Linked DNA regions of Macaca mulatta. The protein of the gene in region 6 interacts with the protein of the main gene of each other region in a pairwise test. Links are inferred from orthologs where the notes say so. Each region holds a gene or a part of one and is shown on either strand. Other genes may lie near its edges.

The links.
Region 1: the proteins of FAM9B (region 6) and SYT17 interact in binary tests that used the Homo sapiens proteins (3 or more experiments, as listed by UniProt). The two-hybrid records come from large-scale screens. The link is inferred for Macaca mulatta from reciprocal best matches to the Homo sapiens genes FAM9B and SYT17.
Region 2: the proteins of FAM9B (region 6) and TRMT61B interact in binary tests that used the Homo sapiens proteins (3 or more experiments, as listed by UniProt). The two-hybrid records come from large-scale screens. The link is inferred for Macaca mulatta from reciprocal best matches to the Homo sapiens genes FAM9B and TRMT61B.
Region 3: the proteins of FAM9B (region 6) and CCDC106 interact in binary tests that used the Homo sapiens proteins (3 or more experiments, as listed by UniProt). The two-hybrid records come from large-scale screens. The link is inferred for Macaca mulatta from reciprocal best matches to the Homo sapiens genes FAM9B and CCDC106.
Region 4: the proteins of FAM9B (region 6) and FASTKD3 interact in binary tests that used the Homo sapiens proteins (3 or more experiments, as listed by UniProt). The two-hybrid records come from large-scale screens. The link is inferred for Macaca mulatta from reciprocal best matches to the Homo sapiens genes FAM9B and FASTKD3.
Region 5: the proteins of FAM9B (region 6) and GFOD1 interact in binary tests that used the Homo sapiens proteins (3 or more experiments, as listed by UniProt). The two-hybrid records come from large-scale screens. The link is inferred for Macaca mulatta from reciprocal best matches to the Homo sapiens genes FAM9B and GFOD1.
Region 7: the proteins of FAM9B (region 6) and EBNA1BP2 interact in binary tests that used the Homo sapiens proteins (3 or more experiments, as listed by UniProt). The two-hybrid records come from large-scale screens. The link is inferred for Macaca mulatta from reciprocal best matches to the Homo sapiens genes FAM9B and EBNA1BP2.

The regions. Positions count from the first base shown.
Region 1 is NC_133425.1:19,195,347-19,199,628, forward strand, and holds the start of SYT17 (synaptotagmin-17), read left to right. Parts: upstream 1-1,482; 5' UTR 1,483-1,850; coding exon 1,851-1,865; exon of another isoform or gene 1,866-1,876; intron 1,877-4,282. UniProt on the Homo sapiens protein: Plays a role in dendrite formation by melanocytes.
Region 2 is NC_133418.1:96,103,817-96,107,819, forward strand, and holds the start of TRMT61B (tRNA (adenine(58)-N(1))-methyltransferase, mitochondrial), read left to right. Parts: upstream 1-1,203; 5' UTR 1,204-1,211; coding exon 1,212-1,910; intron 1,911-4,003.
Region 3 is NC_133424.1:67,997,172-68,001,415, forward strand, and holds the start of CCDC106 (coiled-coil domain-containing protein 106), read left to right. Parts: upstream 1-1,444; 5' UTR 1,445-1,697; exon of another isoform or gene 1,698-2,353; 5' UTR 2,354-2,454; coding exon 2,455-2,485; intron 2,486-2,615; coding exon 2,616-2,720; intron 2,721-2,816; coding exon 2,817-2,993; intron 2,994-4,244. UniProt on the Homo sapiens protein: Promotes the degradation of p53/TP53 protein and inhibits its transactivity.
Region 4 is NC_133411.1:8,930,441-8,934,487, forward strand, and holds the start of FASTKD3 (FAST kinase domain-containing protein 3, mitochondrial), read right to left. Parts: upstream 2,801-4,047; 5' UTR 2,761-2,800; intron 1,923-2,760; 5' UTR 1,899-1,922; coding exon 467-1,898; intron 1-466. UniProt on the Homo sapiens protein: Required for normal mitochondrial respiration. Increases steady-state levels and half-lives of a subset of mature mitochondrial mRNAs MT-ND2, MT-ND3, MT-CYTB, MT-CO2, and MT-ATP8/6.
Region 5 is NC_133409.1:169,624,751-169,628,879, reverse strand, and holds the start of GFOD1 (glucose-fructose oxidoreductase domain-containing protein 1), read right to left. Parts: upstream 2,801-4,129; 5' UTR 2,685-2,800; coding exon 2,432-2,684; intron 1-2,431.
Region 6 is NC_133426.1:8,568,769-8,572,695, forward strand, and holds the start of FAM9B (protein FAM9B), read right to left. Parts: upstream 2,801-3,927; 5' UTR 2,534-2,800; intron 1,777-2,533; 5' UTR 1,688-1,776; coding exon 1,660-1,687; intron 1,160-1,659; coding exon 1,039-1,159; intron 860-1,038; coding exon 828-859; intron 1-827. UniProt on the Homo sapiens protein: May play a role in meiosis.
Region 7 is NC_133406.1:197,485,695-197,489,968, reverse strand, and holds the start of EBNA1BP2 (putative rRNA-processing protein EBP2), read right to left. Parts: upstream 2,801-4,274; 5' UTR 2,759-2,800; intron 2,621-2,758; 5' UTR 2,598-2,620; coding exon 2,532-2,597; intron 2,449-2,531; coding exon 2,365-2,448; intron 2,131-2,364; coding exon 1,958-2,130; intron 1,358-1,957; coding exon 1,234-1,357; intron 1-1,233. Other genes in the region: CFAP57 (cilia- and flagella-associated protein 57), read left to right, coding at 3,213-3,369. UniProt on the Homo sapiens protein: Required for the processing of the 27S pre-rRNA.

The DNA.
Region 1 (4,282 bases), on a different chromosome or scaffold from region 6:
ACCTCCCTCAGGAAGCAGAGTGAATAAGGGCAACAAAAACAATTATTCAGTGCCTACTCTGGCTGGACAGAGTGCTAGCTGATAGGAGTGATCAAGGTACTGCAGGTTGAAATGAAATAATGCTTGTGAAGTGTTGAGGCGTGTATGCCTGCAGAATCATAAGCACTCAATATGCGTTACGTGCTATATGCTACAAACTAAATATATCATACTAAAAAATGTATAGGCCTGCTAGATTTTTAGACAAAAAATATATGCATCTGAATATCCATCTTTTGTTTGTTACTTCCATATTCATTTTCTCATTTATTCCCACAAAACAGCCCTGGAGGATAGGCAGGGTGGAGATTTTCTCCTGTTTTTACTGAGGAAAAAGAGGCACTGGGAGGTTAAAATTAACAGGCTGATAAGCTGCTGCCCAGCAACAGGAGATGACTGGGCATATTAAAAAGAAATCCGGCCCGCACAGTGGCTCACGCCCGTAATCCCAGCATTTTGAGAGGCCGAGGCAGGCAGATCACTTGAGGCCAGGAGTTCGAGGCCAGGCTGGCCCATATGGTGAAACCCTTTCTCTACGAAAAATACAAAATCTAGCGGGCTTGGTGGCGGGCGCCTGTAGTCCCAGCTACTCGGGAGGCTGAGGCACGAGAATTCCTTGAACCTGGGAGGCGCAGGTTGCAGCGAGCCAAGATTACCCCACACCGCACTACAGCCTGTGTGACAGAGTGACACTCTGTGTCTAAAATAAAATAAAATAAAATAAAATAAAATAAAATAAAATAAAAAAATAAATCCAGAGGAGGGCAATGTACCACCTCGAATCTCTGAGTGGAGAGCCAGAGGCCTTGGACTGGGAGGTTTGATGGAGGCCTGTGGGTCCAGGGCGCCCCAGCCACGAGGTCAGGCAGGAGGGCAGCGGTGGACACGCCCCGGGGCGCACGCTCACTGGCGGCCGGCAGCCAGTGGGCAGAGGAGCACACGAGGCCGGGCACGACGCTGGGTGGCGCTGCCGGGCCGCCCTGCACTAGACCTGTTGCGTCCAGGGCGCAACTCCGGCAGGTTTAGAGTAAAGGGGCGCTCCGCTCTCTCCGCGCGCCCCCTGAAGCCCTGGACACAGCACCTCCGTTTGGGACGCCCTATGCCCACCTTAACTTGAGGCTCCCATCCAAGCAACCTCTGCGATCCTCACCGCAACCGTGCTAGGCGCGTCGGGTGGGGCGGGAATAAAGTTTTTCCAACCCAGTTTGGGGAGAGGGCTGGATAGGGAGGACCTTCCCTGCTGCAGACTTCATGGCAGGCTGCACTGTGTCCCCTCCGCTCCACGGCTGCCCCGGGGGCCCTGCTTTCGGTAGGTGCCAGCCCCCTTTCCAGCAGGATGGGCTGACCTGTGTACCGCCCCCTCCCACCCCCTTCTCCATCCCCATCCCCTCCCCCGCCTCCCGCGCGCTCGGGCCCCAGCGTCTCCGGCCCCGCCTGCGCTGGGGTCGCTGCAGTCCCCGCGGCTGCCCCGGGCTCCTTGCCCAGGCGCCCGGGCCTTATTCCAGCCTGGGGAGCACCTCGGGGGGGAGCACGGGACAGCGAGGGAGACCGAGGCGGGGGCCCTGGGCAACCCATCTCTCCGAACCGGGGAGGCGGCCCCGATTCCGAGAGCCGGAACGCAGGGAAAGGCAAGGACGGGGCGGCCGGCGGAGGGGCGGGCGCCGCTCATCAGCCACTCCAGTCACGTCTGGGGCCACCGGCTGCTTTTTTCTTCCTTTCCCCCTTTGCTTTCTTCCCCCTCCGCTGTTGGCGAGGGCAAAGTGGCCGTGGCGGCGCCATGCCCGGGCCGGAGTGAGTGCGCGCGGGCGAAAATGGCGTACATCCAGGTAGGGCTGAGGCTGGGGGCAAGGTCCGGGGTGCGGGTAGGGGGTGCTGCGCCCCCTCCGGCTGGGAGCGCGCGGAAGGGAGGGCCCACGGCTAAGCTCCCACAAACTTGCTTCGAGAAAAAGGATGCCCGTGCGCGGGCAACCCTTGCAGCAACAGGGGTGAGCCCCGGGAGGAGAGACTGGGGACCCCCAAACCCCGGGATGGAGGGTCCTATGTGGACTCTGCAAAGCGCACCCTTGCCTCTTGGGGAGGGAATGGGGGGTGGGGCGGACTTTTCTTCCCCCCCGCCCCTCCCTCTCCTTGGCACCCCACCCCAGGGGAGGGGCCGTGGGGAGGGCTGCCCGGGGCGAGCCGGCAGCCCGGCCCGTCAGCTGCCGTTGCCGTGGTGACGGCTCCGGCTAATTGGCCGGCAGACCGAGCCTGAGGCAGCTGTTCCGACCAGGAGGGACAAGGACGTCGTCTCTCCCGGGCACTGGGTGCTGAGGGGTGGGGGACACCCGGAGGCCAGAGGCGCGCAGGTGGAGAAAAAGGAGGCTGTTACTTTAGTCCGCTGCATTGGGATCTGGGAGATGTGGACCCTCTTCACCTTGAAGAAATGTCCCCCAAGAATCCTTGGGCTGAATTAATTCTGAAATAATTTCTAAGCAGCCTTTTTTGGGGAGAGGGGGCGGAGGGGTGGGCCGGGCTTCTTGATGAAAAGACCTTTCTCCTCTGCAAGAAGGGAAGTGACCGCAGGTCAGCGCCAAGGTCAAGCAGGCAGACTCGCAGTGAGACCCGTTGAGTTGCTTGCTTCTGGTGCTGGCTCCTCTGAGCTGGGCAGAGAAGCTTACAGACTTCCACGTCCAGGGTGCATCTTGGCTCACATCTTGTCCCCTCAGCCACAGCTGGGGGTGCTGCTGGTCCTCCCATTCCCCTCTGGCTCACGTATCGTGTCCTCAGACGCTTCAGCCTGTCGGGAACTCTGTGCTGTGTCACCTGGCGGAGCCTCTTCCATTCGTCTCCTGCCTTCGATTCCCCGGATTGGCTTCCCTTTCGTGGAATCGCCAGTTTCTCTTTTCAAGTTCATTGAAGGTCACATTACTGTCCACCCACTGTGTGCTGAATGTTGTCCAGGGGCTATTCAATAGTCACCCAACACACACTTGGGCGACCGCCTACTAAGTGCTGGCACTGGGGATGCAGTGATGAAAACAGCGCAGTTCCTGCCCCTCTGAGTGCGCAATTTAGTGAGAAATGAACATATTTACTGGCTCCTGGGGTTCTTAATGGCCGCCTTCAGCAGAGAGAAATTAAGTGACTTGCCCAAGGCCACACAGCCGCTTAGGGGTCAAGGTGGGATCTCAAGGGGGGTCGGTGCGAGATATGTTAAGCATCTCATATGACAATGAGCAGAGATGTTGGTTTTCCTTCTAGAACAAGGTGTTAAACTTTTTTTGTCCTGTGAAGTGCCAGATAGTACTTTTTTTCTCTTGGAGGCTCACATGGTCTCTGTCACAACTATTCCACTCTGACTATAGCACCAAAACTGCTATAGACAGTAGTAAATGAGTGGGTGTGGCTGTGTTCCAATAAAACTTTATTTGCAGGCACCAAAATTTGAATTTTGTATACTTTGCCCGAGTCAAGAGGCAGTCATCTTTTTTTTTTTTTTTTTTTTCCCCAACCTTTTAAACTCGTACAAATCATTCTTTGCTCAAGGGCTGTAGCAAAACAGGCTGCGGGGCTGGTTTTGATCTGCGAAGCTTAGTTTGCCAACCTCTGTTTAGAATGCATGGGTTTTCTTTCTTCCTCTTTCTTTCTGATATGAATTGGTTCTCTTCCATCAGTGTCAAACATGGGAACCCAGGAGACCCAATGCCAGAAAGACCGCATGCCTGGGAACGTCAGGGTACCTCTTTCATCTTCTTTGGTTTCTCTCGGTTCCTTGACACTCATCTTGCACCTGGGCTTTGAGAAGGCTGGGAAGGCTGTTTTTCAGCAGGGGCATGAGGTGGCCTTGTCTCTGTTCACTTTGGTTTCATAAATGGCCTCTTTTGACCACCACATGTCTAGGAAATGCTTCCCCATATTCCGAAAATGGTCATGGATTATCATGAAAAAGTATCACTCTATCCTAAACATTCTAAAGCACTTTTTCATGTAAGCCCTATGAGAGTATATTTTGTTGTTTTGTGCCCTGCTGTACCTGCCAGGACAGTACCTGGTGCCTGCTGGGTACCACTATGTCTTGACAATCACCCAATTATCTTCACAGAAAGGGTGCATTTTAATTTTCAACTGGACCGCACGCAAGTATTTGCAGAGTCAGTGTCCTGTCCCACCCTAACAGCACCCCTTTGACGTATAGAGTAGCCTTTCCACTAAAGAAGAGGAAACCGAGGCTCGGAGAGGCCCCCTGACTTGTGCGAGTCACGTG
Region 2 (4,003 bases), on a different chromosome or scaffold from region 6:
CAAGAGATTCTCCTGCCTCAGCCTCCCGAGTAGCTGGGATTACAGGTGCGTGCCACCACGCCCAGCTAATTTTTGTATTTTTAGTAGAGACGGGGTTTCACCGTGTTGACCAGGCTGGTTCCGAACTCCTGACTTCAAATGAGCCGCTTGCCTCGGCTTCCCAAAATGCGGGGAGGCTAGTGATATTTAACGTTAAATAACTTTGGCCTCCAAAGATACCTGTTTCCATTTTAAGACACTTCTATTTAGTTTTGGGAGGGTAAACTAGTTATATTTTAATAATGAAAACATCTGTTACATAAGCACATAGTGAGTACTCTAATCGACCTTCTCGGACTCTCCGGGCGTGAGGGGTGGGTGAGGGGACCGGCAGGCTGTCACAGCCCCTTCAAAAGGGACTTGGGGCTGGGAGATGTCGCAGTCAACTGGGAAAGGAGAGCCAATCAGCAACTGGAGCGTCCCACGCCGTTTGTCAAATGCATCTCCGGATTAGCTCTACTCATACGTATATCTTGGGGGTGACTAGGTGATGTCCGTGTTCAAGACACTAGCGTGCTAAGCCTGGCATTTCAGTTTGCACAGCGCTGTAAGTTTTGTCTCAATCTTCCTGACCGCCAGCGAACCTGGAGGACGTCTGCTAGCGGTAAATTTATTTATTTATTTATTTATTTATTTATTTATTTATTTATTTATTTTGAGACGGAGTTTCCCCTTGTTGCCCGGGCTGGAGTCCAACTGCGCGATCTCGGCTCACCGCAACCTCTGCCTCCCAGGTTCACGCGATTCTCCTGCCTCGGCCTCTCTAGTAGCTGGGATTACAGGCATGTGCCACCACGCCTGCCTAATTTTGTATTTTTAGTAGAGACGTGGTTTCTCCAGTTGGTCAGACTGGTCTCGAACTCCGGACCTCAGGTGATCCGCCCGCCTTGGCCTCCCAAAGTGCTGGGATTACAGGCTTGAGCCACCGCGCCCGGCCAGCGGTAAATTATTTACCCACATTCCGAAAAGGAAAACGGGCGCCCGCGCGCAAGGACATACTCCTTGATGGTTACTCAACCAGAACGCCGCTGCTCCGGCGCCACTGCTTGACCTAGCGCACCGCCCCCTCCGACGCGGGCGCCGTCGGGCTGCTGCGCCATGCGCGCGACAGGGAAAGGAGGGGTCGCGCTAGGTTGCGTCACTCGTCTGCGACGGCGCCTGCGCGAAACACCATGCTGATGGCAAGGTGCAGCGGTCCTGTCTTGCTCTGCCTGCGGCAGGGACTCGGTACCAATTCATTCTTGCGCGGCCTAGGGCAAGAGCCCTTCGAAGGAGCTCAGTCACTGTGTTGCAGGTCCTCGCCTAGAGACCTGCGAGACGGAGAAAGAGAGCACGAGGCGGCACAAAGGAAAGCCCCAGGAGCAGAGTCTTGCCCATCTCTCCCTCTGAGCATCTCGGACATTGGGACCGGATGTCTTTCGTCACTGGAAAACCTCAGACTGCCTACTCCGCGGGAAGAGTCATCCCCTCGAGAGCGCGAGGACTCGAGTGGAGACCAGGGCCGGTGCGGTCCGGCACACCAGATATCCGAGGATCCTTCGATGCTCTCGCAGGCCCAGTCTGCTACCGAGATCGAAGAGCCTCACGTCTCCCCTTCTTGTTCAACTTCCAGACAGAGACCCTTTCAGGTTGGGGAACTGATTTTAGCTGAGACTGAGAAGAGAGAAACACAATTTAAGAAATTATTTAGATTGAACAAAGTTGGACTCTTAAATAGTAGCTGGGGGGCAGTCCCGTTCAGCAAGATCGTGGGCAAGTTTCCCGGCCAGATACTGAGGAGTTCCTTGGGTAAGCAGTTCACGCTGAGGAGGCCAGCATTGGAAGACTATGTATTATTGATGAAAAGAGGGACTGCCGTAACAGTCCCAAAGGTAATGTGATGGAGATAAGGTGTGTATTGTTTCCAGGAGGAGCAAAGACAGATGCAGTACTCAGTCCTGATTAATGTACTCAAAGCATATCTCAGAACGTTTGGATTTTTTATTGTACTCAGGCTTTTAAGATAAACCAATGGATATAACTTTTACATATCATGATGAAAATTAGCATTAGGAAACGCCCAGATTTTAATTTTAACTTGGGAGTCTCGATTCCCTTTTTTGTAAAATGTGGATAATATTTCAACTTTCTGTTAGGGTGATGTGAACTCATTAGGTACATAGTAAGTACTAATTTTGTTCCCCATTACTCTTAAGTTTACAACTTCAGGACTCAAGAGAATGTTGAACTCTTAGGGAACAAATTTTTAGTACTACTATGATGATATTTTAATAATATTTAATAATCATGTTACAAGAGTATATTTTATCAACAGTAGATACATTACGGTGCTTTTTCCTTTAGGGAAGAAATAGAGTTTTATGTTAAAATAGCTAACATTCAACACCAAACATAAAATGACGTCTTTATTAAAAAGTTAACTGCCTAAAGCCTAGTTTCAGTTTTTTTTTTTTTTTTTGAGACAGGTTCTCACCGTGTCATTCAGGCTGGAGTGAAATGTTGCGATCTTGGCTCACTGCAACCTCTGCCTCCCAGGTTCAAGCGATTCTCCCACCACAGCCCCCTGAGTACCTGGGACTACAGGCATGCGCCACCACCCCGGGCTAATTTTTGTAGAGACGGGGGCGGGGCGGGGGGCGGCAGGGGTTTCACCTTTTTGCCCAGGCTGGTCTTCAACTCCTGGCCTCAAGTGATCCGCCCACCTCTGCCTCCCAGTGCTGGGATTACAGGCGGGAGCCACTGCGCCCAGCCCTAGTTTGAAGTTTATGCTAATCATCTATTGCTAGCAGATTATTTCAATCCTTAGTCACAGTCACAGTCCTTGAGTAGAATGTTCCTGTGTAACACAACTCCTCCTTTCTCCAGATCAGGATTCGTTCATTATTTATTCAGCAAATGATTGACTGCCTTACATACTCAAGGCACTATTTAGGGAAGTATAGTGTTGAACTGCAGTCCTCACTCTCAACATAGACCTTACATTCTAGAAGGGGTGACAAAGAACAAACAAGTAAATGAAAGAATAAGGTCATTTCCAGTAGTATTAAGTGTCATGAAGACAAATACATTAACAATGACATTGGGATGACCTGGGGTACGAGCATACTTTATGTCAGGTGAGTAGAGATGGTCTCCAAGGAGGTACACTTGATAGGAAACCTAAATAAGGAAGAGCTTGCCTTGTAAAGATCTAGGATAAGAATTGTTCTTGCAAAGGGAGGAATACTGCAGAGTTTCTGTTGTGGCCTCTGGGTCAGATGAGGGTCCCTCTATGGGGTGTGGTTTGAGTATTTTATTCCATTTGTAGTGAAGGACCATTAGAAGTTTCTGAGTAGGAATCCAGTCTGTATTTTAAACGGTCTACCCAGGGACTAAGAAAACTTTCCTCAGAAGCTTAGGCTACTGAGGTATAATAAGCTTTTTTTTTAAAGACAGGGTCTTGCTATATCACCCAGGCTAGAGTGCAGTGGCTCAATCACCTCTTACTGTAGCCTCAACCTCCCGGGCTCCAACAATTCTCACACCTCAACCTCTTGAGTAGCTGGGACCACAGGTGTATGCCACTATAGCTAATCAAAAAAAAATTTTTTTTTAGTGTTGGGGTCACCCTAACTTGCCCAGACTGGTCTCAAACTTCTCTAGGCTCAAGGGATCCTCCCTTGAGGGTGCCGGGATTACAGGTGAGAATGACCGCTCCTGGCCATGGTATCGTAAGCTCTTGAAGAAAACCAAAGACTTTTGTAATTTTATCTTGCTTCCCCATGTCTCCTTTCTCCCCATTAGACAAAATGAAGAAAGATTAGTTACATTTCATGAAGTTATAAATAGGCATCCTTAGTGTACTTTCTGCCTTTCCATTTGTTACAGATATAAGTCACATTGTTCTACTCTAAGGAGGAATTTAAGTACTAAATTTGTTAGGTGTTGACTTCTCTTTATAGCTTCCAAGTAGTAGCTGGAGATA
Region 3 (4,244 bases), on a different chromosome or scaffold from region 6:
GCGATTCTCCTGCTTCAGCCCCCCAAGTAATTAGGGTTACAAGCATGTGCCACCATGCCCGGCTAATTTTGTACCTTTAGTAGAGATGGGTTTCACTACGTTGGCCAGGCTGGTCTCGAACTCCTGACCTCAGGTGATCCACACACCTCAGCCTCCCTCAGGACCCTGGGCCTGGAAACAAAAGTTTCTTTACCATAGTTAGCTTTAGTATGTGTAGATTTTTTTTCATTAGCTATTATTATTTGAGATGGAGTCTCGCAGTGTCGCCCAGGCTGGAGCAGTGGTGCAATCTCCACTCACTGCAACCTCCACCTCCCTGGTTCAAGCGATTCTCCTGCCTCAGCCTCCTGAGTAGCTGGGATTACAGGCACGCACCACCACGCCCAGCTACATATTTTTTTAAACTGCTGATTTCATCCTATTCTATTGAATTCTCCACCCATGAACCTATAGTTTGGAAAAGACTAATCTAGGGCAGGTGGCTCCCCCTGGAATTTCTGGACCAGGCTGCAGTTTATTTGTAAAGTGAAGTGGGGAGGGGAGGATCATGGGTACAGCTTTGCAGGCGGTGCAGACGTTTAGATTCTCCCTCCATCGGGTTAAGACCTTGCTCTCCTAAGGGCTGGCCAGAGTCCAGAGCATGGATGCTTCTGGTGAACAGGAGAGGCAGGTGGAGCTGAGCCTGAAGCTAAATAAACATCTGCTTATTAATTCATTTTTCTTGCCTGTCTGTGCCAGGCACTGTGCTAGGCCTCATTTGCTCTTCCGACCTCTTTTTTTTGGGAGGAAGAACAAATCTTCCGTTCGTACTCCCCAGAGTGGGAAAGGAAAGAGCCTCCCAGAGGTTGCGATCATACCCCACCATCTGACCTCAAATAATACCAGCAACGCTCCTCTCTCAAGCCCTGACTATGGCCAGGTGCTGGGCTGAGCTGTGTGTCCCATCACTGTGTCCTCACAAGAAATGTAGAGGGGCCTGTAATTTCCCCATTTTACAGGTGAGTTAACAGGCTGGGGAGGAGCAGGAACAGTCAGGACTGGAATCTAGCTCTGTTCCAAAGCCAGCTCTTAATTACCAACATGGGGGGGTGGTGGCGTGTTCCTGCCCCTCGTTTTTCTGGAGAGGGGTAACTCCCCCCATTTTGGCCCCCACATCCCTGAGAACCTTGGGGTCTGGCTGTAGGAGGTGGGGGAGCTCTGGGGGGTCTGCGCTGGCTAGTTCCTGAGATCGTTAAAAGTAGATTCTCCTTTCGCTCCAACTTTCCCGGTGTCTCACACACTCCTGCCTTCTCCTGGGCCCACTGGGCCCACCGCCACCCAACCCGGGAACCCCCGGAGGCTCGCCAGCTCTCCAGAATGGGAATTTCTTGACGTTCCCTGCCTGAGCTTCGGGGAGGGCGGGGGAGTGCCGTAAGGGGCTATCGCGCAAGTGTAGACCCTCTGCTTCTGCCGCAAACGGCGGGCCTCACCTGGACCAGGGGACTCTCCAACGAGGGGCGCTAGTCTGGCCCGACTGGGCGAATCCCCGCGTCCGTACCCGTTCCGTCGCTCAGTTCCACGACTCGCTCCCCTGCCGCCCCGCCTGTTCGCGGGTGGGTGGGCGCTTCCCTCGGCTTCCCGTGACACTTTGCAGACGCTCCCCGGCGCCGGGCATGGGCGCCGCCGCCGTCGGTCCCCGAGTCGGATTCCGCGCGCGGGTGGGTGAGCGCGGGGGGCCTCGGCCCCTCGGACCCCGGGCACCCGCGGGCGGGGGATGGTGACCGTATTTGCACCCCCGCCCTGATGCATTCCCCCGCTGGGATCTTTCCACGACTGCTCCCCCTCCCACCCCCGGGACAAAGGGCGGGGGCGGCGCATCCCCACGCGTGACCTTTCCCCGTACTGCGCACGCGCCCAGCCCCCACCACCGGGGGAGGGTCCGCACGCCCACGCGAGTGCGGGGGAGGGGTGTGGGGCCCCGGAGGTAGGGGAGGCAGCGCGCACGGGCTGGACCTCCTCCTACCCTGGGAAGTTGGGGCAGTTTCCCTCTGCACCTGCCTCTTCCTTAGGCCTGGCGGTGGCCCGCGATGAGAGTCCTTCCCCTTCAGGCCAGGTGTCCCTGTCAGGCGACCCCTTGGGGCACCCAGCAATTTAGGGCTTCAGCTTCCTTTTCCTTCGATACCCAGGAGCCCACGTCCCCAGCTCACTTCTCCCCTAGGACCTCGGTGGCTGGGCCCCCTGTCCCTGACTCTGGGAACCCAGGAGTTTGAAGCCCAGGCGTGTTTTGCCTCAGTCCTGGGGTCTGGGCTCCCTCCTCCCTCAGACCAGGGATCCAGGCCAGAAGGTCCTTCCTGTCTCACTTCACCTCCCCCAGGATGGACCCTCGAGTCCATCCGCGTCCCTCCATTTGTGGCTGCTGTTTCTGTCCAGTGCCCCTGAGGCCCTCGGCTGCTGGGGTCCGCAGGAAGCCACGCCATGAATGACCGGAGCAGCCGGAGGCGAACAAGTGAGGAAGCTGGGTCCCCTTCCCTACCCTGGGTCCCGGTGCGGTCGGTCGGCTCCAGGCTGCCGTGGTTGGGGGGTGGTCTGAGGGGCCCGGGACTTCTCTGGGGTGACCCGGGGCCTCTCCTCTCCAGTGAAGGACGATGAGACCTTCGAGATCTCCATCCCCTTCGACGAGGCGCCCCACCTAGACTCACAGATCTTTTACAGTCTGAGCCCCTCTCGGGGAAACTTCGAGGGTGAGCCGAGGGGGCGTGGAGGGACTGGAGTCAGCTGGGAAGCCAGGCCGAGTCCCAGGGTGTGACCTGGTCCCCCCACCCTCGCTGTGTCCCTAGAGCCTCCGGAGGCTGCGTCCCCCGCCCTGGCTTTGATGAACAGCGTCAAGGCCCAGCTGCACATGGCTCTGGAGAGGAACTCCTGGCTGCAGAAGCGCATCGAGGACCTGGAGGAAGAGAGGGACTTCCTGCGGTGCCAGCTGGACAAATTCATCTCTTCTGCTCGGATGGAGGCAGGTATGTGTGGGGTGCTCTGATCCACCTGCCTCCCTGTCCCGCTACTGGGTACCCGCTCACCCAGACTCGAGGCTCCACAGTTTGCCTGGCTGGGTGGGACCTGCCATGTTGGCCCTCTCTGCTAGTCCCCTGCCTGTTTTGGGCCCCCAGGCCCAGCTTCCTCTTCACTTGATGTCCAGGACCTCATCCCCATGAACTGTCTACTGGGGCCTGTCCTCCTGCTTTTTCCTTCAGCTCCCCAAATCCCATCAGCCTCCAGTGCCCTGCCATCTGCTTCCTTGGCCTATGGTGACTTCAGGACCCTGGAACCTGAGAGTCCCTCTCTTCTGACTCCTAGGGGGACCTTCCTTCATCTCTTTGGCCGAGAGGCCCACCCTAGTCCTTTGGGTTTCCTCAGGGGGCCCCTGATCCTCTTCCTGGCCCTGTCTTCTCCAAGATCCAAGAGTCCAGCCATCCAGCCTCCTCCTGTCCCCCCCCGTCCCCGTGTGACACCAGGGGCCATCTTCCCACCCACCCTGTCCCATCCTTGGTTAATGAGTTCTCCTTCCTCATGAAAGACATTAAGGCTCTTCCTGTGTGGGCCTTTTTGGGTGGGGACCCCAGCAGGTGCTGTTCCTCAAACCCTGCCCCAGGTTCCTGGGCAGTCCCCGCCCACATACCTTGCTCTGCTATAATTCATGGCCAGAAGCAGCCGGGAGAGCTCCCATAGCAGCCCCCAGCCCCAGCCAGTTCACAGCTAGCATCTTCTCTTGACTGGTGGGACCCTGTGTCCTGCTTAACACATTTTGGACCCCAGCCGCATCCTCTTCCCCAGATGGTCAGGCCCTTTGCCAGACAGCCCATGTCCTGGAGAACCCACACTTTACCCCACCTACCCTCAGCTCGGCCTTGCTAGCTCCTTGGCTGAGAAGACCCCTCAAAAACTCCCACATCTCTCTTTGTGAATTCAACCTTTTCCCTCAAAAACTTGGGCAAGGGGCCTATGGTCTCGTGGTGTCTGTTACTGGGAACCCAGCATCTGGGGATCTGGCCTTCCCTCTGCTCTGGAACAAACCGCCTCTGACTGCCCTTGCCTGCCACTGTCTCCTCCCACTGATGGCTCCATGCTGGGTGACTGACTCCTTTGCACAGATGGTTTGGTCCTGCGGCCTCGGCACTTTCCCAGTGGGGACCCTGGCACCAGACCCCTCTCCTAAGCCGCCTTCTAGAGGACCCTGTGTCTGGGCCTCCGCCAGCCAGCTCCCTCTGTCT
Region 4 (4,047 bases), on a different chromosome or scaffold from region 6:
AGCTACCGAGTACAATTAAAAGAAAGAAAATATGTTCACAGAATTAGTGGAAATTTCCTTTAACTATGGAGTTCCGGAAATATGTGGGTGGCCTTGGTTCGAGATGAACGATGCCATCCTCTCAAAAAAAAAAAAAAAAAAAAAAAAAATACAGTTGCTCACTCATCAAAAGTTCTAACATGTTAATGTGGCTATTTCCACTACCATCACTGTATCTCCTAAGAATGCTGCAATTTCTCAGATAAGGCAAAAGTCAGTTTATCTGAGACAGCTTTCCTCCCTTTATACGAGTTCCTAGCATGCTTTAACTCTGTGTTTATGCCAGCATCTGTCAATTTCAGGTCTCATCTTCAGATCACTATGGAAGAAAAACTAAAGGCAACACACTGCCTTTATATGTGACTTGAAACCACTGCCAATTCAAAGGTTAACTTTTTCCAACTGTCAGAATTTATAACCAACTCACCTTGCAGCCGTTGAAGGAAAAAAGGGTTGAATATTTTTGCCATAAAGTTGACTGGATGGCATTCATTCAGTGAACATGAATGAAGAAGTTTCAATAATGTTTCAGGTGGAAAATAATCGAAATGAGTGAATAGCACATTTTCCAGCTTTCTAAATAAAGCAGAGGCATTTGGTGGCAAATAATTGAGTTTCCCAAATGGTTCCATTAATGCAGAAATCTGACTAGGTGAAAATTTTTCTGATTGGCAAACAAAAGTTTCTGCCACTGCATTGAGGATGGGTTTTGAAAGAATCCGTTTTCTACCGCAGTACTCCATGACTCCGCAGACAACTTCAGGATCCAACGTGAGGCACACCGCAGCTACACGATTCTCTAGGGCTTTTGTAAAAAATCTGTCATGGTACCCAAAATACATGAACGCCTCCAAGACTCTCCTAAGCTCCTCGTTAGTGAAATATGGGACATGTCTCACGACATATCTGCCCAATTTTATGATCAGAGGAAATGCTTGACTTTGATCAAGAACCACCAGGGCAGTGAGCATTTGGCTAATCAATTTAGGACTCAGGTTGGAAACTATTGAAGGGGAAAAGTTGTTTATCTTATTTAAAAATGTTTGGTGTTCATCCACTTTTTCAGCACATGCCTGCAAGATTCTATAAAGGGCCACAATATCCTCTGGGGTAAATGTTTCCAATTTTTCACCTTGCAGTTGATTTATAATCAGTTCTAGTGTCACACAACCCGAACTGTGCAGTCTAATCAGACTCTCCCCAAGAACACAAAGATTGGGAACTTCCAGGCCACCTTTTTTGAGACGATTTTGGCATTCTGCCACCAGGTTCAGTAACAGGCTACTTTGAGGATCCACATGCAACAGAATCAGAGCTTGCAAAGCAGTCACCAAAGTAGTGTTTGACAGCTGTGAGGGTTCCTTTTCCAACTGAAAGCATAAAGCTTGAAAGATGCTATTCTCCAGTATTTCTTTTGGCAACCCTTGATCACCATCCTTTTTTTCCACTTCACAAATTCGTTGTAAAGCTCCTGCTGCCATAGTGTCAGGCAGGGTTTCCATCGTGCTTATAAAACTTAGCACTTCTTCTGATGAAGTCAAGTTGCTCAGTCTCTTGTAAAACGTCTGACTCTCCCCATTTTTAACATTTTGTTCAAGCCTGACCCAGTCAGATATTTGAGAGAATACTGGCCCACTGAGTGGATGAAGGTCATTTCCATTTTTCGAATTAAACTTTTTACAATGGGCATGATGGAACCTGATCCTGAAAGGCTCAGGTTGTCGTGAACAGAACCAAGGGCACAGGCGCTCCTTGACTACCTTGTGAACACGATTTAGAGGTTGACTTTTCAAAGCAGCTCCATGCATCCGAAAATCAGATAAACGATAAAGGTTCTTCCTCAAGGTGATTAATGCCATGCCATCAGATTCTCAATTTGATAACTAAATTAAAACATTTAAAAAGACAAGGTTAAATACATTGAGAACATGATTGACCCAACATCAATGTTGAAACTACAAACGAGTACCAGGAAAAAAAAAAAAAAAGGATGGATAACATATAAACACCAGAGGAGCAAGGTCTCTGCATCCTAGAATTAGAAAAGTGGCTGACATCCAACAGTAACAATCGTTACTACTTGCTAAACACTTTCTATTAACTTACACAGATTAAGTACCTTTACCATCATTTTACATGAGGTAGAAGTTGAAGAGCAAAGTTACTTTGCCCAGTTTATGCAGGTGGTTAAGTGGCAGAGCTAAGGTTCAAACTCAGGCAATGTAGCTCTTAAGGGTGGCCCTTAAATGTTGGTTGAAGGAAGAAATTGCATTTGAATAGAAATCAAACAAAGAATAGGTAAAGTGGATGAAATTACGCGAGGTTAGAGCAAGGCAAGAGTAAAAACGCGCTGGAAAGGCCCTAAGCTGTTGGTTTCCCCTCGGTGTCAGGAGACAGGGTTGAGGGAAAGGGTCTACGTCGGCAATGGAAACAAAGTAGGAAAAGAAAAAGCACAACATAGACCAATGAAGGGAGAAGGTGTGGCGGCCGGTCCAGATCTAAAGACGCCGCGGGAGGATTTGGGAACACGAGTGTGCAGGACAGACAGGCGTGATGCCCCGGGGCGCGTCTTCCTAGGAATGAAAGGGACCCGCGGGCCGAGCACCCCCAAAACTCGGCGCCCCGGGGACCTGCGCTGAGACACGGGCAGGGTGGCGCAGCCTGAGGAGAAAGCCGATAAGGTCTGTGACACCCAGCCGGAGAGACCGCGTGGACACCTACCGCCCTCCGCCCGCCAATCACTCCGGGTGGCCGCGGAAGCGCCTGGGCGTCGTGGGCCACCGTAGTAAACGCGGGGCGGGGCAGGGCGGGGCGGGGCGGGAGCACGACTCACAGCCGCGCAATGTGATTGGTCCAGGTCCCCTTCGGAACTTCCTATTGGTCCTAGGTACGGAGCATGGGCACTACGGCAGTGCGCACGGGCGCAGCGTTGGTGGAAGTCGCGCTGTGCAGGTGTGTCTTCGGGTGGCGCGGCGCAGGTAAAAGCGCTGGTGGCTACGGTTTCCGGATTCCGGCCGCTGGCCCCGTACTAATCCCGAGGGAACGGCGGCCCGGGCCGGGGAGCGGGGGAGGCAGCCGGCTTGCGCCCATGGTTCCCACACCCCTCGAGCTCCGGGGGTCGCCGCGGGGGCGGGCTCGGCCTCGGGCTGGGGCTTGGCCTTGGCCTTGGTTTCCCCGGAAGCGCGTCCCGGAGATCGGCGTCGATCTCTGCGCGCGGGGGCTCCTGGGTGGTGTGGGGCCTCTCCGCCTGTTCTGCCTTTGGTTCCAGGCACTTTCTAGGACTAGGGAAACCGCACTCGGGGACGCGGGGAACGGGGGAACGTGTCGGGTTGGGGCGGCGCTCTCCGGGGAACCGGGGATTTTCCGAGAGCCCACCTGGCGGGACGCGGCAGTGAGCTCTGCCCACCGCCTCCGCGCCGCCCCTGGGGCTGCTGGGGCTCCGGCCTCCTTTGAGAGTAGTGGGAACGTGGTGCCGGGTTGTGGCGCAGTAGCAGGGCTGAGGGGTTGATTGATCCTGGGAAGTCCTCAGGATGTGTGTGTTTCATGGGAAGTGATAGAAATTTTAGCTGTAGTAAGATTTTCATCATCGTTTCCGCCGTTTTCTGTGAGCTGTAAACGTGTAGTGTTTTCATATTGTTCATTTACTCTTTCAGATAACTTGTCGAGTACCTGTTTTGTGCCAGGTGCCGTTCTGGGCGGTTCATTCACGAAAAGCCAATATTTTGGTTTGGGTTTCAGTTTAAATCTGTCTCCACAAATTGACAGCCCACCAGTTTTAGCCATTAGATGAGTAAGGAAAAAAAAATCTGTGAGTATCGTTTGTGTTACTGCTACTTATCTCTTCAGGAAAAACATGTGTTAGTAAAATGTTTTAAGTGGATTGGAAGTATTTTTTCTTTATATGCACCTGTATGTAATATGCCCATACACTCACGTATTTTTGATTTCCATTAAATACAAAAAAGGTAACTGATGTGCTTCAGTTACCTTTAGTACTATGATTAGTTT
Region 5 (4,129 bases), on a different chromosome or scaffold from region 6:
TAGACCAGCCCCTTACTTTGACAGGCCTGTGACCAGTTATCAGTGTGGATCAAGAGTCACAGACCTGTCACCATTACTGGGCAAGCAAGCCAAAGTCCAGGACTTTGCTAAAAGGACAATTTACTCGGACAAGTCAGAGTCCAGGCAAACACTCGTATCTATACACTCCCAACAGCCAGACCAGCCTGGTAACTGTTTGGGGTTTTTCACTTCCTGTGTTGTATGTGTTGAACCTTCAATAGTGACTGTAAAGCAAACGAAGACGACCACCCCACTGTGCACTCGCAGGGGCAGCCTGCAAAAGAAGGAGTTAAAAAAAGAAAGAAGAAAGAAGCTCAAAACCTACCCTAAAAACATGAACAAAACCCTATTCTGTCATCACCATTATTCAACTAGGTCTATTATGCCTCTTATCATTGGCTTTGAAGAGATAACAGACATGTCTTGTTAATTAAAGAAAAGTCACAGGGATATTTGAAAAATAAGAACAGAAGAAGTATCCAGAAATGTCTAATTTGTGTCACATCTCTTGAAACCAGAGCCCCCAGATACTTTCATGGCCAACTTCCCAGAGACAGCCAGAAAACAAGGTCATCCTTGTTCCCCAAATCGCCACCCTCCTGCTCTAGGTTTGCTCTGTGGGTCTGTACCCAGGACAGGAACCACCATCTCTATGGTGGAGAAACGAAGTTACAACATGGTCTTTCAGATATGACCAGTCCTAAGCTCTCCAGTATACCCAGGGCTCATGAGGGACCAGTTTTGTACAAACTGCACCAATAGAATTATACCACAAGATGGTTATAAAATATTTAATATGCAAATAGCCAATGTAAACCAGGGAGTTATCCACCCAATACACATGTTCCATCAAACAGAAAATAAATATTGGCCAGACTCAATGGCATTCAGTTCAAGGCCAAAGAAACAGGCCACAAAGGGCAGACACTTAATAAAATTAACTGACAATTAAAACTGACAATGTGAGCAGCCTCCTTAGGAATTCCATCAGATGTCGCATCTGAGTCAACAGCCAAATGGCCTGATAAAAATGCCTTTCTATGGAGAGTTTCTACATTCTGTTCAGAGCTCTTCGAAGGCAGAATTAAAACACATATATATATTTCACCCACCCTGAATCCACACCTATTTTTAAAAAATAAAACAGTCTTTCCAAGACTACATAACTTCCGGTTGGTTTCTGGATGGTCTCTGTTCCTTGGCAGTTCCTCCCTTCTAATCTGTTCTACTATTCGCTTCATCTGGTTATAAGCTTTGTTCTTGTTATAAGCTTTGTGTTTTCCTCACCAATAGAAACTTCAGCTTTCAAAGGTGAGCTGCTAATTTTCTTGGAATTGTAAGATCAAGCAAGCTTCCTGGGATTGTTTTAGGTTATATGTAAGAACTGATGATGAACAAAACATGCCCTTCTCTTTCCCCTGAGCATGGGCTAAGAGGTTGCTACTCTGTGCTCAGAGATTGTTCAGACTGCCTGGGAGTTGAGGGGAGCAGGGACCAGATGGTGAGGCACCCTGAACTCATCTCCGGCCCCCGCGGGTCAACACTGTGCCTTCAGAAACTATTCCTGAAGGCGATTAGCGAGGGCCTTTTCTGATGCAAAGCGTCCATGCCTCTGGAGCTACTGCGCCCATCCCCGTAAAAATTTAAAATCGATTACTCCAAACTGTGGCAGAAGACATTTCCCGGAAGGCTGCATTCAAAAGTTAAAACCCCTGGTTTTATCAAATCAGTCTTTACTAACCTATGACGCTTCTGAAAACATTCTAAATCATCACCCCCATCCAACCACTCCCATCATCCTTGCCTCCAGCGCAGACGAAATAATTCCAGCCGATGGTCACACCTCCAATGTCACGCTAAACTAACTCACAGTAGAAAGAAACAAACGACCCCAACAGGGCGCCACAGTTGCTGAAGGGCAGGTCCTCTGTCGAACCCAAGAACCCCGAGACACGTGTGCGGCCCTTTATTCAGGCGTTTCTGGGCGCGCACTCGCGTCTCCCAGGCGCGCGCGCGCACACACACACACACACTCACACACACACGTACACGACACACACAGCTGAGGACTAACTTTCCTCTTCTTGCGGAGCACCCCATCCCCTGATATCGGCATCTGATCTTCCTAGTTCGGATCCCCGGAACACACTCCTCCTCCAGCCTGCCAGCCACACACGTGGGGAAGCGCGTCCAAGTGGTGCCAGGAGGCAGGAGGGAAGTGCAAAGGTGGGGAAGGCCCGGGACAAGGAAGGAGGGAGCTCTGAGTCGGATCTGGGATCTCAGATCCCTGGGGCAGCGTAGATGCAGGGTAAGCTTCTGGGACACGGAAAGGGAAAGGCAGCGGGGAAGGAACCCAGGGAAGGTTAAAGGGCGGGTGTGGGACGGAGGATTCAGGGTAGGGGTCGCTCACCTAGGGTTTTGACAGCGATCTGTCTGGTGAGAGGCGGCGGCAGGTTAATGCACACCAAGTCCACGTCCTGATGTAGCAGCACCTCATCAATGCGGCTAGTGTAGAAGGGGACACTCATCTCCTTGGCCAGCTCCTCCGCTTCTTCCTGCGTGCGGCCCCACAGCGCCTTCACCGCGAAGCCCTCGTCTTTTAGCAGCGGGATGATGACACGGGCCGTGAGGCTGGTGCCGAACACGCCCACCCCGGGAAGCATGGCTGCTCAGAGCCGCCTGGTTCTGCTTCTACTCGGATCTCCAGTCCAACACGCGCACACACCCACCTCCAGCTAGTCCTGCACCCGGCTCCTGCAGCCAATCTAGCCGCTGTGCGCCAGCCGCCGTGCACCGGGCAAGGCGCCCGGGTGCCCAGCGCGCACCGAGCTGCAGGCGGAGCAAGCTCGGGGCGCCTCAGTACGGTGACTGCGGCAGTGTCCGCCACGCGGGGCTTGCGTCCTTCCCGGAGTCGGCGACAGGGACCCCCCCAGGGCGCCGGAGGCTTCGAAGCCCCCTGGAGCCCCGGCTCAGGCGGCGTTCGGGCGGCAGCGCCAGTCCGCTGCGTGCGCCCAGCCAAGGCCGCTCCATGGCCGGCTCATCCCCGCGGCCGCGCCGCCGCAGCCCGGGACCGTCTCTCTCCCGCGTCGTTTGCGCAGCCGGCGAATCGCACACACAAACGTCTACACCCTGCCCCAGAGTCTGGGCACGGACCCGCTCCGCTGGGGAGTCTCCTTTATCCCTCGCCCTCCGCTCGGAATGAAATAATCCCGCGACCGCCAGGAGGCCGGCTAAGGATGCGGCCCGGAGCGCGCCGGACGGGGATCTCAAGCTGCAGCGCTGCAGCGGCTGCCACGACCCGGCGCCAGCCTCCTCATTTTGCTGCCATGTTCGCTCGCCTCGCGGCTCGGGCGGCCTCGGCCCCAGGCCGGCTCAGGCTCCGGGATCCCGCGGGGACGAGGGCGGAGTTGGCGAGTTTGGCTGTCAGCGGCCGGTGTTCCTGCACCGCCCTCACCGCAGCGCCGCGCGCCATTGGCCGCCGCGCGCCGCCCCCGCCCCCGCCGCCGCCAGCTCCGGGTGCGCGCTGCGCCGGGGCCCTGGGAGCCCAGCCCGGCTCCTCCCCGGCCCCGCCTCGCTCGCCTCCTGCCCCTCCGCTTCTTCCCTTTCTTTGCCCTCACCATCTTCTTCTCCTCCCTGCTTCACTCCAAACCCCGCCCCAAGCAAGCAAATAAATCTATCTAGGCAGGGCGCGCCCCAATAGGTTAGTCGCCTGTCCCTTGGAAGAGAGCAGTGGGCGCCTTGGCCTGGGGGCAGTGAGGGGACCCGGCGAGGTGCGAACAGCCGGTATTAACAACCTCGGTCCCCGGAGCGTTACCTGCGTGCTGAGCATCATACTGAAGCCTTTCCAGGCATTGTCCCTTTTAGTCCTCGCAGCAACCTAAGGTTATTGGAAACCCATTTTACCAGTGATGTAAATGAGTCCCAGTGAAGGCTAAGGGACTTGCGCAAGGTGACATATGTAAGCAACAGGCCTGCGATTGGAATCCAGGCCCCAGAGTCTGGGCATGGAACCGCAGACTTCTCCGGTCCCCTTCCAAGCTAGCCTGCTCCAATCGCGCGCCCCCGCTCCGGCCGCGCACGCACGGTTCAGCCGCCTTCTTCCCAGACA
Region 6 (3,927 bases):
CAAACTTTTTTGAAAATATGGTCCCTATAACAGTGCAACTAATATTTCACACAGCAATATAAAGTTTATGAGTTTTTGGATCCAATTACATGTTTCTCACTAGATAGAAAAGTTGTCCTTTTGTACTACACAGTTTATTACTGGAATAATAATGGAAAATGATTTTAGAGAATTCAATTTTCTCTTGTACTTCAAATAAAACAAAATCAGAAAGCTGTGACAATAGAATAGCTAAATTAAGAACATGAAAAACTCATATTAAAAACTCTGAGTACATATGGACAGGAAGAAGGGACCAACAGACAACTGGGCCTACTTGAGAGTGGAGGGTAGGAGGAGGGTGAGGATCAAAAACCACCCATCAGGTACTATGCTTATAACCTGGGTGACAAAATAATCTGTATACCAAAACCCTGTGACATGCAATTTATCTATATAACACACCTGCACATGTACCCCCAAACTTAAAGTGAAAGCTTAAAAAAAACCTGATATATGACTTAATCTGCGTACACTAAAAGGAACGAATAGAGCTGTTTCTCCTCCAATGTCCTCTAATATTCTCCAAACAATTAAATTTCCACGTGTATGAAAGAAAAGCCATCCATCTCGCTTCACCATTATTAGAAGCATTCTCACATTCCACATCAACAATCAAAGAGGTAAGAAAAATTTATCAAACAGATTACATTAAATACGTATGTTAAATGCTACATATGATAAGCCATTTAAGACAGTCTTGTCATCCACTGATTCATATAACTTACTGCAACAGTTGCATGATTGAAAACAATTTTCATAAACGACAGATAACTCCTAAAATATACCTGCAGTATCTTCTGGCTTCTTGGTATTAGCCCTGTAAAAAAAGTTACATCAAAATTTTAGCATAATACTACACAAAATGCCATGTTTGTTGGGAAAAGAAATGTCTTATGTGAAATGTTCTGCACAGAATAGAACAGTGATGACATGGTCCAAAGGTGACTTTTCCTAAAAGACCCTATCCCACAGGCAAAAGTGACTTAAACACTTTACCCCGTGTGCTCGTCTTTTTCAGCAAAAGGTTCTCTTTCCCCATGCTCATCAGTTACATCTTCCTCCCTTGTTTCTGTAAAAGGGTTTCTTTCCTCACATTCGTCACTGACTGGATCCTTTCCTGCATTAAAATTTAAAAGACAAACCTTTTTTAGAGGAAGACACTGTTGTGGACTTTTTTTGTGGAGAAATGTACTTGTTGTAGACTTTTTTTTTTTTTTTTTTTTTGGCTATCTGCCAATTAAGGCTTTAAAGCAGAGCTGTACATGGAATCACCGGCTTCTGACCATTTTATCAAGGCACTTTTGGAAGCCCTTCGGGTTCAAGTCCCAGTAAACAACATACTACACGTCAGACCCCTTGGATGTCATGACTGCACTCATGGAGAAGAGCTGCTCTGGGAGCATCTGTAACCCCGCTATGAGGGGAGCCTTTCACGGGAAGCCTAAGGCCCTTGAGCCTGCTTTGAAAACCTGGGGCATCTTAGCACGTGCACGATGGACTCCAAAGCCACGAAGGGGCCCGGGTCCTTGGGCTACCCCTGTGCCCCCAGCGCAGAAAGCAGACAGACCGTCCTCTTGGGCGTGCACTTTCTTCCGGGTCACCTTGGGCTGTATTTACCTGCACGCTCCTTCCCCTGGGCCGCCATAAATTGAGCCTCCAACTGGGCCTTGGCAGCCCTCCTGCCCACAGGATCCGTGGCTGGCTGTCCTGGGAAGCTACAGGTGATCCCTGAACCTGATGAGGGCAAAGGCACACTAAGGAAGCAAAGGAACCCTGGCATCGGAAAGGAAAGCCATTGGGATCACAGGTTCAAGAAGGGTGGGGCTGGCACGCCCTGGGTCTCCTGTGGGAGCAGGAGGGGACCGAAAAGATGCCAGTGTCCCCTCCTGTCCTGGCCCGTCCAGCCCGTCCAGCCCGTCCCCGGGGCTGGCTGCAGAGCTCACAGCTGCCCCTCACACCTGAACTCCACGGCGTCTGCGGGATCCTCGCCGCACCTTTGGGACAGAACTCAGCCCTACCTCTGGGTCCCCCAGCGACCCCGTGTGGCTGGGAGGGCCACCGGGTGACACAGGATCTCCCCAGCCACCTCCAGAGGAATGTCAGGGGCTGCACTGTCACTCACCCGCCTGGATGCACAGGGGACCCCTGATGACCCCAAGTGTCCTGTCCTGACGGGAGGCCGGGCAGGAGGGCCCCACTCAGACTGTCCCCAACAACACCCTCGCCCCACCCCCACTTCCCCCCACCTTCCGCACCTCCCCCCAACACATGCACAAGCCCTCCTGGGCCCTAGGGATCACCCAGGCGGCTCCAGCTCCCTCCCTGCCCTGGCCCACCCCAGCCCACCCTCAGGGCCTCGCCCTGACCCAGGCCCCAGGCGACCACGCCAGGGGCATTTCCTCACAGGTCAGCGGGCGGCCCAGCGCTTCACACCCTGGTTCCCAGAGGGCCTCGTGCCTGCGTTTCCGCCTCCCCACCGCGAGCGCTTCACCTGAGGGACCCCTGATGTGGCGCCCTCAAAGAACCTGCAGACAACAGCACCACTAGGATCTCTTAGAAAACGGGTCCTCTCAGGAGGCTGAGGCAGGATGATTGCTTGACCCCGGGAGGCGGAAGTTGCAGTGAGCCCAGATCGCGCGGCTGCACTGCAGCCTGGGCGGCAAGAGCCAGACTGTCTCAAAAAACAAAAAACAAAAAACAAAAAACAAAAAAGAAAACAAGTACTCAGTTCTCGTGAGAGCTGCCGACAGCACTTCCTACGCTCCTCGCAGATTGGTCGACTCAGTGCACATGCGTGTGACAGGCCGTGTGGGGCCACGCCCCCTGCTGGCACGCCCTCCCCCTTCCCCTAAGTGACAGCAAGTGGTTGCTGTGGACTGAGGTGGGGTTGGCCCTTTGGGGCCTCTGTTCCCACATTCTTTCAGCTTCTGCTCCTGGGGAGGGACACAGGACTTGGTATGGAGGCCAAGTGGACAGGGCCTAGAACCTCGCCCTGGGGCTCTTTCCAGCCACCCCTGCCCCTTTGGCTAGAATGGCCATCATCCTATGGGTTGGGCCCAGGCTCCCTCCCATGCCCTGTGTGCTTCCAACATGCCCAGCTGCATCCTTTTCAATCAATGGATTGTGCTTTTATCGTTTTTGTTTGTTTTTGAGACTGTGTCTCACTCTATCGCCTAGGCTGGAGTGCAGCAGGGTGATCTCAGCTCACTGCAACCTCGGCTTCCCGGGTTCAAGTGATTCTCCTGCCTCAGCCTCCCAAGGAGCTGGAATTACAGGAGCCCAACACCAAGCCCTGCTAATTTTTTTTTTTTTTTTTTTTAGTAGAGACGAGGTTTCACCATGTTGTCCAGGCTGGTGTCGGACTCCTGACCTCAGTTGATCTGCACGCCTTGGCCTCCCAAAGTGCTAGGATTACAGGCATGAGCCACCGTGCCCTGCCCATAACCATTTTTGTTTCCTCACTACTTTTCTTTCTCATCCTCATGCCCCAGACTTGCCCACAAACCCTCATGCTCCAGACTTATGCAGACATATGCCACAACCTTCACCCACAAATTAATGCCTTAATACTTATCGTTAACTCAGCTTTTTCCCACCTCCAGTCGCCTATAATAGGGGGAGAGTTGTTTTGGAGTTAGGAGTAAATAAATATTGCCTAAAGTTTGTAAATCAAGATATAGAGTTTCATTATATTATTGAAATTATATCCCAGCACTTTGGGAGGCTGAGACGGGCAGATCACAAGGTCAGGAGATCGAGACCATCCTGACTAACACGGTGAAACCCTGGCGACAGAGCGAGACTCCACCTCAAAAAAAAAGAAAAGAAAAGAAATTATAAAGGCAGTCATCAGGAAAACTAATCCACAGCCTTAAATGTCTATAT
Region 7 (4,274 bases), on a different chromosome or scaffold from region 6:
TGAGAAGGTGAACTACTACCATGACAAAAGCTCCCTAAAATCCAGTTTGAGACCCCAGGATACTATTTAAATATACTCATTCCTCAGTATCCATAGAGGATAAGTTCTAGGACCCACTACAGACATCAAAATCCACAGATGCTCAAGTCCCTTATATAAAAATGGTGTAGCGTTTGCATATAACCTACACTCGCCTCCAGTATAAAGTCAGGGGACCTCAACTCCTGGGCCACAGACTGCCATGAACCTGCTATGAATCTGTGGCCTGTTAGGAACCAGGCCACACAGCAGGAAGTGAGTGGCAGGCAAGCGAGCGTTACCACCTGAGCTCCACCTCCTGTCAGATCAGCGGCTGCATTAAATTCTCATAGGAGCCCGAACTCTACTGTGAAAGCATGCAAAGGATTTAGGTTGTGTGCTCCTTATGAGAATCTAATGCCTGATGATCTGAGGTGGAACAGTTTCATCCCGGAACTATCCCCTCCCCCAGTTCATGAAAAAATTGTCATCCACGAAACCGGTCCCTGTTGCCAGACCACTGCTTTAAATAGTCTCTAGATTACTTATAATACTGAATTCAATGCTACGCATCATGTCATTCTCACAGATTCAATGTTCTCAGCACATGGCAAATTCAAGTTTTCTTTTTCCAACATTTTCAAATTTTTTTCTCAAATATTTTTGATCTGAGGTTGGCTGAATCCACAGATGCTGAACCCATGGCTATGGAGGGCTGAGTATATCTTGGTTACATGCTGGCAATCCCCTCCTTCAAAGTTAAATGAGGTCCAAGTTCTACCCAACTCTAAATTGTACTGTATCTGAACCATCTGAGAATCCCTCATTTTATAGAGGAGAAAACTGAGGCCCAGAGAAAAGTAATTGTCTACAAGTTCTAGCACTACCAGTGGCAAGGGCACAAGAATGCTGTCTTCTCTGCACACCATGCCATGACCAAGCCAGCTAGGAAATGCAATGGGCCATCTTCACCTCAAGGACTACACTTCTCACAGCACTGTTCCTCTCCTTAATTGCTGATTTTAGAAAAAATGTCATATGCATCTAATTGGTGGTAACTGGCATGACTCTGAAGTAGTCAATCTATGGAAGAGGTAATAATTGTCCTCTGACAACTGGCTCCCCATTATTGGGCTCACAGCTATCTTTCTAAGCCAGCTGAATATGCTTAAGTACAAAATTTTGGCTTTCCAGAGGAATATTTCTATTTCTTACCTTCTGCATCTGCAGATCAGACTTGGCCATTTCTGCAAAATAATCAGCGGGTCGCTTGGTAGGGACTTTGAGCTGATGGAGGCGGGGTAAGACTGCAAGCACTGCGGCCTGGGCTTGGCGGTAGCTGAGAATTGTGGGACAAAATGTGTAATGAGGTGAAGGAGAGAGGCCTTACGTTCCTTTTCACTGCCTCTCATGAGTTATCCAAGCTCAGAAGGACTCTCAAAATCTGACCTCCATTAGCAAGAACAAACAAAAACTGTCACCAAACCTCACTGATTTAGTATCTAAAAGAAATGTAGACATATACCAGTTTTTAAAAAGGGGAGGGGTATTGCTAAAAATAGTTTTAAGAGAATGACTACTCTAAAGGTACCCATTAACACAAACTAATGTCGATTATGGATTCTTACGTAATTACTAAAGCAATTCCACACAAGAACATCCCATAAGCAAGGTTTTTTTTGTTGTTTTTTTTTTTAACTGAAGCATGCACAAAAAGCTTTAACATGAATATTTCAAATTAGTCCCTAAACTGGACTTTGAATCGTGACTGTGGACCAAGGAGCTCTCCTCTCAAACAGCGAGAATCTCCTAGCTACTCTTAGTCAAAAGAAGCTGCTCTCCCTACCCCTAAGCTTATTCTGAGTGCAGGCTTACTAATTTCCCCTTTCCCACTCTCCTGCACAAGGATCCTCAACTTCTCCAACATTTGAAAACATACAAACTCATCTCTCGCTGGAAGTCGTCTTCTGGATCAACAGCTTTCTGGTCCTTGTTCTGAGGTGTTGGCGCCTCAGATCCACCGATTTCTGGCACCGGACCCAGTGTCACATCGAGTCTTTCAACCCATTCCAGATCCCGCTTGAATTCTGCCAAACATTGCTTCAGGCCATTCTAGGAAATCCAGACACTGAGCTCATAAGAAGGGGACTCTGAGTTTGTTCTTCCCAAGCACAGGCTGTTAGGCAAAGGGACAAAGCGCTAATCCCCAATACGCAGACAGGTAATAGACCCTCTTGGCAAGGCTCAGGGTGCATCTTTCCTGGGACAAGAATCGGTCTCCCAAGCCCAACAGCGGCTGGTGCGCATCCCAAGTCCGAGTACCCCCGACCCTGTGCCCGCGCTCACCGCGTCGTTCACGGCCTTCTTCGGCCCCTCTAGCACGACATTGAGGCCTGGCTTCAGAAGCCCTCGGGAAAACGCATCCTGCAACTGCAGGACACAATCACGGTCACTCCCAGGGGTGTAAGACCCCCTCTCCCATGCCCAGCCCCGCGAGCTCTGCTGAGACTTACCTCTCTGTCTGTGACAAGAGATTCATCGGATTCCGACTCCGAATCCGAGAGCGGAGGAGTGTCCATCTCGCCGCACGCACGTCCCACACCTACAAGAAGAAGCGGGGTATCCCGAGACCCAAGCGGCTAGCAGAGGGCGGCCCTGGCCGCCGCTGCCTGCCTTCAGCCCCCTAGTCCCAGGCCGTGGCTCCACGTGCCACAGAGTCGCACCAGGGCCAGCAACTCACAGCTACTGCTAAACTTTTGATTGGGCTTCCGCTTCCGGCGGCAAACCATACTTCCGGTTTGTCGTTGCTATAGGAACCGCTACGGCGTTTGAAAGTGCCCGGGTTGCTTAGGATCCGCACAGGTAGTGCCTGTGGATACATGCGTGGTCTGCTGACCCAGAGAGAAGTGAAAGGTGGGAGCGGGTACCTGGGGGTCGCCAGAAGGAGCTGGTAGCAGTGAGGGTACAAAGGAAAAGGCAGAAAAAGGAGACGCGGGGATGCGGTGGCGCGCAGGAGGACCCCGGGGGAGGGGAAAGGGGAGGGGGAAGGGGAGGGGCAAGGAGCGGGGAGGGCGTGTCCTAGATGCTGGGCGGGGCGTGTCTGGGCCGGGGGCGGGGTCGGGGCGGAGCAGGGCAACGCTCTCCACTCTGAAACACCGCCTTGGTGGTTCAGCAGAACTCTTTGGCGGGAGATCATGTCGGCCGTGGTAGCTCAGACGCTGCATGTTTTTGGTCTTCGATCCCACGTGGCCAACAATATCTTCTACTTCGATGAACAGATCATTATATTTCCTTCAGGAAATCACTGTGTGAAGTACAATGTGGATCAGAAATGGCAAAAATTCATTCCAGGTAAAAACCCTTTCCATCCTGACATACAGGAATGGTATGTGCCACATATAACCCCATAATCCCAGCATGATGATTGGAAAGAAAGATTTTGGCCAATTTGAATATATATGCAGTATTATAAAGGTAGAGGAAATAAATGGCGACTTGTATTATGAAACTAGATTAATCAGTCATGCATACGTAGTTAAAATCACATATAAAATGTTAATTTAAAAGTGCTTTTTTCACTGTAATTTCAGGAAAATATGTTAAGAATCCCTCTTTTGGTATCTTCAATATCATTGCCTTTGTCATTACCAGAGCCCCTTTTTGAGTTGTCTGACACAGTTTTCCTGAGCACGCCACCTTCATTACATCACCTTTTGAATCCATGTATGATGAAGACACTGTAAACTTTATCCCAAGTTGCAAATAACCATTTGTATAACATTACAGCCCTTATTTTTGTTCACAGTGGTCCTGTTGATGATATTCATGATTTCAACAACCGAATCCATTTTCCCATTTTTTGTTGCATTGACACCTTTTATTGTGACATAGACACACGAAAGAATGTACCCTACATATATGTAATATTTAAAGAATTACAATAGAATGTAGCTCTGTGAACCCAGCCACCAGCATAGGAAATAGAATATTACCAATTCTAGGGCTTCTCCCTGTATTCCGTGTCCTGCTGCATCAGTTCAACATCATGCTTTTGAGATTCATGCATCTTGATACATATAACCAAGTTCATTGTATTGCTATGTAGTGTTCCATCATATGAATATAATGTCTCAAATATATGTATTCACTCTAGTGTTGAGGGACATTTGGGAAATAACAATCATATGCTATTACAAACTATACTACTATAAACATTCTTGCATGCGTATACATTCGTCTATTTGTGCAGATTCTCT